3 linked regions of the Saccharomyces cerevisiae S288C genome follow. Each later gene encodes a partner of the first gene's protein in a complex. Each region holds a gene or a part of one and is shown in the gene's direction. Other genes may lie near its edges.

Evidence for each region. Proteins that work in one complex are often made in the same cells at the same time.
Region 2: MRPL4 (region 1) and MRPL15 share a complex: the UniProt entries of both Saccharomyces cerevisiae proteins name them as parts of the mitochondrial large ribosomal subunit.
Region 3: MRPL4 (region 1) and MRPL17 share a complex: the UniProt entries of both Saccharomyces cerevisiae proteins name them as parts of the mitochondrial large ribosomal subunit.

The regions. Positions count from the first base shown.
Region 1 is NC_001144.5:1,010,797-1,015,950, forward strand, and holds MRPL4 (mitochondrial 54S ribosomal protein uL29m MRPL4), read left to right. Parts: upstream 1-3,694; coding exon 3,695-4,654; downstream 4,655-5,154. Other genes in the region: ECM30 (Ecm30p), read right to left, coding at 1-449; DIF1 (Dif1p), read right to left, coding at 826-1,227; CAR2 (ornithine-oxo-acid transaminase), read left to right, coding at 1,705-2,979; U4/U6-U5 snRNP complex subunit LSM3, read right to left, coding at 3,113-3,382; SEC39 (Sec39p), read right to left, coding at 4,772-5,154. UniProt on the Saccharomyces cerevisiae protein: Component of the mitochondrial ribosome (mitoribosome), a dedicated translation machinery responsible for the synthesis of mitochondrial genome-encoded proteins, including at least some of the essential transmembrane subunits of the mitochondrial respiratory chain.
Region 2 is NC_001144.5:756,726-760,741, forward strand, and holds MRPL15 (mitochondrial 54S ribosomal protein mL57 MRPL15), read left to right. Parts: upstream 1-2,754; coding exon 2,755-3,516; downstream 3,517-4,016. Other genes in the region: Ras family guanine nucleotide exchange factor CDC25, read right to left, coding at 1-268; ATG39 (Atg39p), read right to left, coding at 912-2,108. UniProt on the Saccharomyces cerevisiae protein: Component of the mitochondrial ribosome (mitoribosome), a dedicated translation machinery responsible for the synthesis of mitochondrial genome-encoded proteins, including at least some of the essential transmembrane subunits of the mitochondrial respiratory chain.
Region 3 is NC_001146.8:170,941-175,104, reverse strand, and holds MRPL17 (mitochondrial 54S ribosomal protein mL46 MRPL17), read left to right. Parts: upstream 1-2,818; coding exon 2,819-3,664; downstream 3,665-4,164. Other genes in the region: Nrd1 complex RNA-binding subunit, read left to right, coding at 790-2,517; TEX1 (Tex1p), read right to left, coding at 3,819-4,164. UniProt on the Saccharomyces cerevisiae protein: Component of the mitochondrial ribosome (mitoribosome), a dedicated translation machinery responsible for the synthesis of mitochondrial genome-encoded proteins, including at least some of the essential transmembrane subunits of the mitochondrial respiratory chain.

The DNA.
Region 1 (5,154 bases):
GTCTTTATGGCGTTGATAAGCCGCGAAGAATGAAGTCCCGTACGGGAAGCGGGCAAGGAGTTCGCGGAAAGAATAATGTAGAGCGAAAGGAAGACAATCAAGTTGTTGAAGTTGGGTGGGTTCAAACTAGAGATAATGTGCAGGATTTTTTTAAAACTAGAGTTAATGCTGAAGTCCTGCACGTCCACTGATATGAAGTCCAAGTAAAAATCGTTGAAGACGGTATCTAGCGGGACATTTGGTTTGTCGCTGAACAACGCTTCAACGTCAGGCCCAGAATCCAGCTTAAAAATTGACAGGTTTAAACTCAACGGATCAGCATCAACTGAAAGGGAGGGCGAGGGCGACGACGTACGTGAAGGGGAGGACGCATCTGCGTCCTCCGGTCGAACCAGAGCGATGCAGTGGTTCAGCAGGATCGAACTGGATTTGGAGTCAGTATTTCCCATTATGCATAGCCTAAGGGAGAATTTTTATGGTTTGATTTGTGTGTATTTCTTTCTCTATTAGCTTTTTCTCTGATTTGTTTGCTTATCTACCTGTACGTGTATGTTGTGTACTCAATAAATAGAGGTCTTTTTTTTTTTTTTTCTCCATAGGTTTACCCGAAAGAAAAAACACCGAAATTAAGCACGTAAACCGGCGGAAAAGCAAGGAAAAACCCCCTGAAGCCAAAGCAACTGCGATAGTTTTTATTATTTGTTATATCCTCTATAAAAAATGTGCGAACAAGAGAAAAGACTATATAAAGAATCTATAAAAGAGAAAGTAAAGTAGGAAAAAGAGAGAAAAAAAGAGAGAGATAAAAAAAATTGTGCAAGTCTGTTAAAGTCTTCTCTTGGATCCATTAACCATTGTTTCGTGCTCCGCGGCAGGTTCCGCGACGTCCCATTTCTCGAGCGAGGACGCCTCGGTCGACATTGTTCTCTGGTTTATCAGCATAGGTGGTAGCGAGTTAGCAGTGGGCAAGGGCGACCTTGTAAATTGCGGAACAATAACGCTCGAGTAATCTCTAATGACACCCGGCTGTAGTGAAGCGTCCGAGGTGCTCGGCGTCCTCGATGCATAACCCTGGTCGACCCGCTGTCTGATTCGCATACCCACAGTCATCAACTGGTCCTTGTGGAAATCCTGTTGCTGCTGCTGCTGCTGCTCCTGTTGTTGTTGTTGTTGTTGAAGCTGTCTCTTTGGGACGAGGCTGCTTGCCCATTCCAGTTGTGCGTCCATTAAGTCTTGTTTGTTCCTGTATTAGTGTGTGATGTAAAGCGTGCGTTTCTTGATCTGGGTTCTCTTGCTGTTTCTTTTTCTTTGTTTTCTTCTCCAATCCTTGCCTGTTGCTACTAGATAAATAAATACCCCACTGGCGGGAAAAAGAAAAAGCACACACACAAACAAACGAGAAGAAAAAAGCGCGTGGTACGAGCCGCGCTAATGAGGAATAGAACCCATGCACCACACGCAAATGTGCGCACGGACAAATTCTGCCCTCTGTTAACGGCAGGACCTGGCGTCCCCTGCCGTTAGCGGCGCTAGCCGACGCCGTAGTCGCGTGCCCTTGCCCTTAGCGGCTGACTGGCTGACTCGATTGCATATATAAATTGCGGCCACCATACGTTGAGTCTTGTTGTTATATGGCGGTTGTTCGTATTACAGCAAAGGATACTACACCACAAGACACCACAGCAGCACAGAACCACAACACCAATGTCCGAAGCTACCCTCTCCTCCAAGCAAACCATTGAATGGGAAAACAAATACTCCGCCCACAACTACCACCCCTTGCCCGTCGTTTTTCACAAGGCTAAGGGCGCACATGTGTGGGACCCGGAGGGTAAGCTGTACCTCGACTTCCTGAGCGCTTATTCTGCCGTCAACCAGGGCCATTGCCATCCTCACATCATCAAGGCTTTGACGGAGCAAGCACAAACACTAACATTGTCCTCCAGAGCGTTCCACAACGATGTTTACGCGCAATTCGCCAAGTTCGTGACCGAATTCTTCGGGTTCGAAACCGTTTTGCCCATGAACACCGGTGCAGAAGCCGTGGAAACTGCTTTGAAGTTGGCCAGAAGATGGGGGTACATGAAGAAGAACATCCCTCAAGATAAAGCCATCATTCTGGGTGCCGAGGGTAACTTCCACGGGAGAACCTTCGGTGCTATCAGTTTGAGTACCGACTACGAGGACTCCAAGTTGCATTTCGGGCCTTTCGTGCCTAACGTTGCCAGTGGTCACTCCGTGCACAAGATCAGATACGGCCACGCAGAAGATTTCGTCCCTATCTTGGAATCTCCTGAAGGTAAGAACGTTGCCGCCATCATTCTAGAGCCAATTCAGGGTGAAGCCGGTATCGTCGTGCCCCCCGCAGACTACTTCCCAAAGGTCTCCGCATTATGCCGTAAGCACAACGTCCTATTGATCGTTGACGAAATTCAAACCGGTATCGGTAGAACCGGTGAGTTGCTTTGCTACGACCACTACAAGGCAGAGGCCAAGCCTGATATTGTTTTGTTAGGTAAGGCTCTCTCAGGTGGTGTTCTTCCCGTCTCATGTGTTCTGTCTTCTCACGACATCATGTCTTGCTTTACCCCAGGATCTCACGGTTCTACTTTCGGCGGTAATCCTTTGGCTTCCCGCGTTGCCATCGCCGCCCTCGAGGTCATCCGCGACGAGAAGCTGTGCCAAAGAGCCGCCCAACTGGGTAGCTCTTTCATCGCCCAATTGAAAGCTCTCCAAGCCAAATCTAACGGTATAATCTCTGAGGTGCGTGGTATGGGACTGCTTACCGCCATCGTAATCGACCCATCCAAGGCCAATGGTAAGACCGCTTGGGACTTGTGTCTATTGATGAAGGATCACGGCCTCTTGGCTAAGCCCACCCACGACCACATCATCAGATTGGCTCCTCCTTTGGTCATCTCCGAAGAGGACTTGCAAACCGGTGTCGAAACCATTGCCAAGTGTATCGATCTGTTATAATATTAATACGCATTTTTTTTATGTTTTCTCGTTTCTTTTCTTTTTTTTGTTTTATATCTTACACATTTTTAATATACTAAAAGTAAAATAAAAAAATACGTACTGTTTCCCTTTGTTTTCTCCTCCTCTTTGCTTATATCTCCACTGCGCCATCGTCATCTTCAGAGGGCGTGCTGATTAGAGTCACTGTGTCTCCTCTGATGAACACCATTTCACATCGTCTTTCGGACTCACTCAACTCCTCGTTGTTTAATTGGTATATGGTCTCTACTGCATCACTCAGCACGATGTTGCAGTGTGAGTCGAACGCTTGCAGTGTGCCCACCAGCGTCCTGGCCCCGCGCAGCTTGATGTACACCCTCTCATCGAGATTGAGTTTCAATAAATCCAAAGGTGTCTCCATTTTCTTGAGTGTGCGTGATGTTGTGTGTGTGTGTGTATTTATCTGCGTGTCTCTCCCCTGTTGTATTGGTTGCTAGAATGGATGGAAACATCCTGCCTCTTGTTTGTTCAAACCTCAGCTTTCTTGCTTTTTTTCTTCTTTCAATATCGCGACCTATCACACAGCACGGATAGCCAAAAGGGCGCATCAGGAAGAAGAAAAAATATCATTTCAGCAAACTAAAAGAATTGCCCTGAAAGCTATCGAGCCCTGGTAAGAGAGTACCATTCTATCTCTGCGGCTAGAAAAAAATACCATAAAAATATAATAAAAATGTGGAAGAGATCGTTCCACTCCCAAGGAGGGCCCCTGCGTGCCAGAACAAAGTTTACCAAACCAAAGCCAAAACAACCGGTGCTTCCCAAAGACAAAATAAGACCGCCCACTCAATTGACTCATCACTCCAACAACCTGAGGATTACCGAACCAATCCCACCAACAACCTCAAACCTGCGCTGTCCCGACGACCACCCGCTGTGGCAGTTCTTCTCCAACAAGAAATTCATCAGGTCCGCCGACGACTTGCCGCCTTCCAGCCATATCAGACCCTGGAGCATCCCAGAGTTGAGGCACAAGTCCTTTAACGACTTGCATTCCCTTTGGTACAACTGCCTCAGGGAGCAAAATGTGCTTGCTCGCGAAAACCATCTCTTGAAAAACATTGTTGGCTCCACGCATGACGAATTCAGTGAGCTCTCTAACTCTATCAGAACCACCATGTGGCAAATAAGACATGTACTTAACGAAAGAGAGCTGGCCTATAGCGCTTCACGCGAATTTTTACAGGATGAATCGGAGAGGAAAAAGTTCTTGGATACTTTGGCCAACGATTACTTCTTGAACAAGGATATCCCTGATGACGAAGTCGCCTCCATGCTCACACGATTCCAGTTGGCCATTTTCGGCATATCGGAAACCATCCAGGATAATACAGTCGACATTAACTTCATCGACGGGATCAAGTTCTTGGCAAACTTAAAACTACAGCGGTTCAAGGACTCCAATGACCTCATATCCGAAATATCACAAGAACCGATCACAGACGTGGGCGAGTCGTTCATCTTATTCACTTCCGACTTCGAACCTCATGCCGTTCAAGAGGCTTGTGTCGCCATCAAAGACCTGAGAAAGTCCCCAGATAATAAAGTCCCTAAATTAGACGAACTCCCCACCGTGAGAAAATACTTGAAACAGCTAATTCATGCAAGCTCCGTGGAGCAAGCAACTGCATGATTCCCGTGGGCTTCCTACCCTCTCTCCTGTAAATATATATATATATATATATCCACACACACTCGCACATACATACACACATACATACACCTTTATATAGCTATACGCTGTATGTATTCAGAAATTAGTCACGTTGTGGAAAATCTCCCTAGCAATGCCGCCTACCTTACTCTTATTGTCGTTCTGTCCGTCCAGTGCGTACTTGTCTTTCACCAGGTCACGGGCGCTTAGCTCCAATTCTAGTGTGCTCCATTGCGATGTAACAATTTCGACTTCCTCAAGGGGGCAAACCTCCAGTAAGCGGCCCAAGATGCTCATCTGCAGAACAATTATCTCTGTGGGAATTTCATTATCCACCCAATTTGGATCGACAAACTTCCCCATTTGATAAAATGTTAACCAATGCTCATCGCCCAACGCCTTCATCATATGTTGGCCCGCTTCTTGACAAATTTCAAACACTTGCTTGCCCAATTCGTATGCTGTGCCAAAATCTAAAT
Region 2 (4,016 bases), 260 kb from region 1:
TGGTTTCCCCTTGTTGTACAGACAAAAGTTGCGAAGAACTGTCTTTTTTAATGGGATAATTAAAGTCATAAGCAGCGACTACTATTCCAATTGGACGAATGCTGGTCAACTCACTTGTCGAGGGGGAAGAAGAAAGAGAAGCTGAGGATGATTCTGTGTTAGTGGTAGTGGAAGTGTTAGATGAAGAGCTGATCGATGGAGTTTGTGAAGCATTGCCTGCCTCCCTTGCAGAACTTGTATTGGGAATAGACGTGTTAGTATCGGACATGATACAACTATCCAATATCCACCTTGCTTTTTCGTTTTATTTTTTAGTATTTATTCGAAGAAAAATGTGGCTCTTTTTATTCAATTTCTTTCCGAAAAAGAAACAGTCTATCTAACTAAAGGAATTGCTTCACGGTGATCAAGTCACTATAACTGTCTCCGCCGTGTTGGTGATGCAGTTTTCTCTGTAACTTTTGAGCTTATTTTTCTATTTTATTTTTTCCTCCAGGTCTCTGTCAAAGATCCGTCTCCCGCGATGTTTAAAAGTCGTTTTAGCGAATTACATAATAACCTGGAGGTGACTGACGTCGACTATTTTCTGCCCCATAAAGCAACAAAATATTTAACTCATAAAAGCTTCGAAGAATATGTAAATATAGTAGTATGAATCTAACTGAGTAAAAAAAGGGAATAACAAAACAAAAAAAAAGGAAAAGAGATGGATAGCATACGTTATGAAAGTAATAAAACCTTAGAGATAGAGATAGAGAGAGAGAGAGAGAGAGATGCACCTTTTCTATTCTCAATAAAAAAAGGAAAGTAAGTGTAAAAAAATTTAAAGGAGGGATATATGACACTCCTACTAAGCAGTCGTTTTTTTTTTCTTTTGTTAATTTCATTCTTCATGCTGGGTTTTGGATGATCTAGTGTTTGCACTTAAAATAATTTTTTTTCCTGCATTCTGACATCGCTTTATACATCCTCGAATGCTGTAATTTCAATCCGAACCGTTTCAGCTGCTTTACAAACCAGTTGGTATCTTTGCGAACCTTAAACTGAAAAACTCGGAATGGTTTCATTGACTTGAAACGAAGCTTGCGCAACTGCAATCTGGATCCCGACCAACATTGTTTTGCTTTTTGGCAAGAATGATCGAAATACCTTTTAATATGTGGAGAAAATTGCCTGTATTTATTATGAAGTAGCACAAAGAGCCTTTTCCAGCGGCGTTTCTGTTCTTTATGCAATACCCTTAAACTTTCTTGAGCGGATTTAAAAGAATTCTTGAGAAATAGGTGTAACTTTATTCTTCCTCCGTTTATTTTGTTAATTCTCTTGTGCCAACCGTCTTTCATTCGAGCTTTTGTTGTATACCATAAAATAACTAAGTCTGTTTTGTATCGTCTCCAGCCCATTAGGTCATCATCCTTTAATGGGTATGCAATATGATTGTCGAAGTCGACGTAGTATTTTCCTGAAGGAGCCCACTGACTTAAAGAGTCACTTGATGAATCGTAAGATTTTTTATCAACAAAATCGATATTGCCGTACAACAGCTTCCTTTCATTATTACGTAATGACTGTTGTGATTTAAAACCTGCCAACACATCACCAGTCAGGGAATATTCGAGGGCGAGGTATGAAAAGGTCATGGAAAGCAATGAAGATAGCATGATAACATGCCACATCTTCAATTTAGCAGATTTACCCTCACTTTTATCTATGATATGATCCGATAGTGTGCTAGAATTCCTTATCGTACTATCCTTCAGTTTCGACCCCTCCATACTTGGCAATACCGTTCCGCCAACATTTGAGCCGGACAAAGTATCAAATGACTCTGAAATAGTGGGAACTCCAGTTTGATCAATATTAACTCCAGCATTACTAAATTCATTAGATGTTCTAAAATCGTAAATACGATTCATCTGTGCAGACTCTTCACTGCTAGTGTTCGATAGGACATCTGCATCGAAGTCCTCGTCGTCCTCTCCTGCAAAGGAGCTTTCATGCAAACTATCCAAAGATATTTCTGACTTCGATGACTGTTCTTCCCCTTCTCTCCCTTTACGTAATCTACGTAATCTAACTAAATTCCAATGATCGTCTTCTTCTGACATTTTAGGTCCGACAACTCGACTGTTTTACTAGTCTCTATTATCGTCACTGCGTATTACTCTGCTACTGTGCTTGTTACTTTATACCGGAACAGTAGCTCCTAAACGATTATTCCAAATGAAGAAAAACGTTTGGCCAGTAACCTGCATAAAACTGAATAACTATAATGATACTCCGACTAATAATATATCCCAATGCCCCATCTCATCTGTGTAGATCAATTTTTATGGCTCGATCCAGGTACCTTGATAAGCAGCTGTCGCGCAAAGGGGTTACCGCAAAATGGATAGATGGACCGGGGGCACACCGGGGTAGGGGGTCCGGAGGGTTAACTGTCAACTCCACCCATACAAGACCGCGCAGAAATCGTCGCAGGACCCCGCCGAACGGCGAAAGCAAATATGCAGCCGTAAAGACCTAACAATAAACCTAATGTAGTCATAGGGCTAATTGATTTTAAATATATGACCTAGCTGACTATTCAAGTTTGCCCTAATTGATGAGTTTTTGAAAAAAAAAACAACTTAGGTTTCGCTATCCAAGCTTATGCTATGGGAAGCGTTGGAAAACTTGCATATAGTATGAACAAGAGCGAGATATAAAACTATAACGGTAGATGGAAAGTAAAGAGTAGACAAGCTCGGAAACATGGAAAATAGCATGATGTTTATATCGCGTTCCTTGCGGAGACCCGTTACTGCTTTGAACTGCAATTTACAAAGCGTTAGAACAGTCATATACCTTCATAAGGGTCCGAGAATTAATGGTTTGAGACGAGATCCAGAGTCGTACTTGAGAAATCCTAGCGGGGTACTCTTTACTGAAGTTAACGCAAAAGAGTGTCAAGACAAAGTTAGATCCATACTACAATTGCCCAAGTACGGAATAAATTTATCAAACGAACTGATTTTGCAGTGTTTAACACATAAGTCGTTCGCACACGGGTCAAAGCCATACAACGAAAAACTGAATCTGCTAGGAGCACAGTTTTTGAAACTACAGACGTGCATTCATTCGTTAAAGAATGGTTCGCCGGCCGAGAGTTGCGAGAACGGGCAACTTTCTTTGCAGTTCAGCAATCTGGGAACAAAATTCGCTAAGGAATTAACGTCCAAAAACACAGCATGCACATTCGTTAAATTACATAATCTAGACCCTTTCATATTTTGGAAGATGAGAGACCCAATAAAAGATGGCCACATAAATGGTGAAACCACGATTTTTGCTAGTGTCTTGAACGCATTTATTGGTGCAATTCTGTCAACGAATGGATCTGAAAAAGCAGCTAAATTTATCCAAGGAAGTTTGCTGGATAAAGAAGATCTTCATTCCTTGGTTAACATTGCTAATGAAAATGTAGCATCTGCAAAGGCAAAAATATCCGACAAGGAAAATAAAGCATTTCTGTGAAGATACAAAAAATATAGTTGATGGTTCACTGGCCAAAAATGTATAAAAGAAAAATTTATCTGTAAATAGTGATCGAAATAAAATAAGATAATAACTAAAGAATATATATGACTTTACTGTACAGATCTATAATTGAAAAATGACGAGAGGTCCTGTGAAAGAGTCTGCCTGTTCGCCATCTTCACACATTCAACCAATTCCCTGGTGCGCTTGGTTACTTCCATCAGGATATCTGCTAATTTTTGATAGAATCGTTTCTTCCCAAGCTTTGTGGAATCGCATCCATAAGTACACAATTCCGATAACTTTTGCGAGCAATCTGTGAGCCTTTCAATAATTTCTTTACAGTGCTCGCCTAAATCCAGTTTAAAACTTTTTTGGACCATTGCTTTGGTAGTCATATCAATCACCGATTCCAAAATAGGAATAATCTCGATGGAATTTTGACATAATCTCGAAACTGATCTTGCGGACTTGAACAATTTTGATTTAGAGGCTTG
Region 3 (4,164 bases), on another chromosome or scaffold:
GTTATTATTCTCCGAAAATAATAAGTGAAGGATTGTAACATTACCGCAAGTATTAGTATTGTAAGTGGAAGTACTATCGGTTTCTTGTTTCAATGAATAGCACCAGAAACGCAAAAAATCTACAATTAGTTTATGGTCGAAATGAGCTACTGCGCACGTATAGCGCATTGTTTCCTATTCTACTAAAGTCCGCAATACATAATTCTATCGAGTACTCAAAAACATTATGCTTTTGATGGCTTGTTAGATATCCTTATGACCACTAACCTGAAATTGAGCAAATTCATTGGAAAGTCGGCGGCAAAAATAAATGTTTCGTCTTTGGTGATTTATTGGTCATTACATACGGTACATTTTTGATTTTTTTTTTTGCCACCGGTCGGAGCGGAGGAGGTGAAAAAGAAAAAGTATAAAAGGGCAAGTGTTTCGTCCTTCCTCCATGTTCCATTCCTCGTTAGCATGACTCCCCGCTCCTTCCCTTTACGAGTTTCATGCTTTTAACATATCAAAAGTCAGTACTCGGCAACCTTATTGTATCGTTTTCGTATCGTATCGCATCGTATTATCGTATTGTACACAACTAACTCACCAATCAAGGCTCTTCTTACAATTAGTTACGTTACCGTATCCATTGCTACAACCTATAATTTCAAGCAAAAGAAAAATATACTATTGTCTATTTTTTTGTATTGTAGTTTTCTCTGATTACACATTTTTTCTAGTACTTTTCTCCAAGCACGAGTTACAGGAAAGGAACCGGAAAGCAACAAACATACTAAACATCCCATAATGCAGCAGGACGACGATTTTCAAAATTTTGTAGCTACCTTGGAATCATTCAAAGATTTGAAATCTGGTATTTCAGGTTCTCGTATTAAGAAACTAACCACTTACGCACTTGATCACATTGATATTGAATCGAAAATCATATCTTTGATAATAGACTACTCAAGACTTTGTCCCGATTCTCATAAATTAGGTTCTTTATATATCATCGATTCAATAGGTAGAGCTTACTTGGATGAAACAAGATCAAATTCAAACAGCAGCAGCAACAAACCCGGTACTTGTGCCCATGCCATAAACACGTTGGGCGAAGTAATTCAAGAACTGCTATCCGATGCTATTGCAAAAAGTAATCAAGACCACAAGGAAAAAATTCGTATGCTTTTAGACATTTGGGACAGGTCCGGCTTGTTTCAAAAGAGTTACTTGAACGCCATCAGGTCAAAATGCTTTGCTATGGACATATCGAATAACACCGCGAACACCGCTTCACAACAACTATCACTGGATCCCAAGCAGAGGTCGAAACAAATCTTGTCAAATCTAAAGAAAAGTCCTCCTTTAAACTTGAACATAAGTCTTCCAACTGATTTGACTTCCACAGATCCAGCCAAACAGCAAGCAGCTCTTTTCCAAGTAATAGCGGCTCTGCAGAAACATTTTAAAACTTTGCCTTCACATACATCCGTGGGTACAGTCGCACCTCCCCAAGCCCATACAATTACCGAATATGGTAGCAGACGTGAACGTGAACGTGAAAGAGAAAGATATAACTCAAGAAGGAATAGATCAAGATCTCCTCCGGCACCATTTTCTCAGCCATCGACAGGCAGGAAGGACCGCTATCCATCTGTGGCCCAGGACCAATACAGCATAGGCGCCCCCAATACGACATTTGGCACAAACAATCACCACTTATACCCCGATGAGCTTAATGTTTCCAATAATCCTCATTATAGACCAAAACCAGTAAGTTACGACTCTACATTGCCACCAGATCATATTAAAGTCTACAGCCGTACTCTTTTCATCGGTGGGGTACCACTAAACATGAAGGAATGGGACCTTGCTAACGTTTTAAAACCTTTTGCTGAAGTACAAAGCGTCATTCTGAATAACTCCAGAAAACACGCTTTTGTGAAAGTTTATTCAAGACATGAGGCCGAAAATGTTTTGCAAAACTTCAATAAAGATGGAGCCCTGCCATTGAGAACTAGGTGGGGAGTTGGTTTTGGTCCAAGAGATTGTTGTGACTATCAACACGGTTACAGTATTATTCCTATGCACAGGCTCACGGACGCTGATAAAAAATGGTCAGTAAGTGCGCAATGGGGTGGCACTTCTGGTCAACCTCTCGTTACCGGTATTGTTTTCGAAGAACCGGATATTATCGTTGGTGAAGGTGTTTCTTCCAAGGCAATATCTCAAAAGATGCCTACTGATTCTGGCAGAAATGGGCCACGTTCTGGTAAACCTAACAAATCTGGTAGCATATCGTCGATATCTCCAGTACCCTACGGCAATGCACCATTGGCATCTCCTCCACCACAGCAATATGTGCAACCTATGATGCAGCAACCGTATGGTTATGCCCCCAACCAACCATTACCTTCTCAGGGACCTGCCGCAGCGGCTCCCCCTGTACCTCAGCAACAATTTGACCCCACTGCTCAATTGAATTCTTTGATGAATATGCTTAACCAACAGCAGCAGCAACAACAACAAAGCTAAGATCTTTACTCCACCCTTTATTTGCTCATAGTACATAAAACTAATCTACCTCTATATATAATTTCTGTTTTTTCCTATGTTCCTTTTTTTTTTTTGTTAAATGGACATCCTTATGTATTCACATAACTACTGTGTTTCAAATGTAGCATTATCCTATTCTTTATTCTCTTTTTTTACCGTATTCCTGGTTTTTTTTCAAGGTTTAGATGAAAATGAAAATGAAAAAAAAAAAAGGAAAGAAAACAGTTAAACAATCAATAAACTTTATATTCTACGTAATCATAAGCGCTTATCCAGTACCATGAAGGTAAATTTAATGTTGAAAAGAGGGCTTGCTACTGCAACTGCAACTGCCAGTTCCGCTCCCCCCAAGATTAAAGTCGGAGTACTACTGTCAAGAATCCCTATAATTAAATCAGAATTAAATGAACTAGAGAAAAAATACTATGAGTACCAATCAGAACTAGAAAAGAGACTAATGTGGACGTTTCCGGCATATTTTTATTTCAAAAAGGGTACTGTAGCAGAACACAAATTTCTATCCCTGCAGAAAGGACCTATCTCCAAAAAAAATGGCATTTGGTTTCCTAGAGGCATACCGGACATTAAACATGGCAGAGAAAGAAGTACTAAGCAAGAAGTTAAACTTTCTGATGACAGTACAGTAGCATTTAGCAACAATCAAAAAGAGCAAAGCAAAGACGATGTTAATAGGCCCGTGATTCCCAACGACAGGATAACGGAAGCAGATAGGTCAAATGATATGAAGAGCCTTGAAAGACAATTGAGCAGGACCTTATATCTTTTGGTTAAGGATAAAAGCGGTACTTGGAAATTCCCTAACTTCGATCTTTCTGATGAATCTAAGCCGTTACACGTACACGCAGAGAACGAATTGAAATTGTTGAGCGGTGATCAGATATACACTTGGTCTGTTTCTGCTACGCCCATAGGTGTTTTGCAGGACGAGAGAAATAGGACTGCTGAGTTTATTGTGAAGTCACACATTTTGGCTGGAAAATTTGATTTGGTGGCGTCGAAAAATGATGCATTCGAGGATTTTGCTTGGCTGACAAAAGGTGAGATCAGTGAATATGTACCAAAAGATTACTTTAACAAAACAGAATTTCTTTTAGCGGATAATTGAAATCACAAAAACAGATGCGTTTTTAACGTTACATATACAAAATATATGCGTGCATATATATTTATATATTAGGTTGTCGTCAATCACATGTAAATATCATTAAATGAAAGAAAAAGAATGTGCATTTTCTACCGCATTCCTTCCATCAGGTAACTTATTTTTTTGAGTTGAATCTACTCGGCCTATCCTTGCCAATCCTATCAGTATTCTTACTCGTCCTTTTATTGTGGTTGTTGCCTCCACCGTTGTTTTTCCTACGTTTTTCAATCATCGTGTTATCGAACATGTCTTTCCAATAAGTTATTAGATTTTTTTCGTTTTTAACAAAATGATTTGATAGTGTGTCATTCTTGCCTGACATGATATACCATGATTTATCAGGATAAAACTTCAAAACGGGATCGGTTTTGTAATTGGCTAAAGATTTAGAGTGGAGTAAATTACCACTATTAAGATCATAGAAATATACCATTTCATCTTCTGTACAAATTCCTAGTATT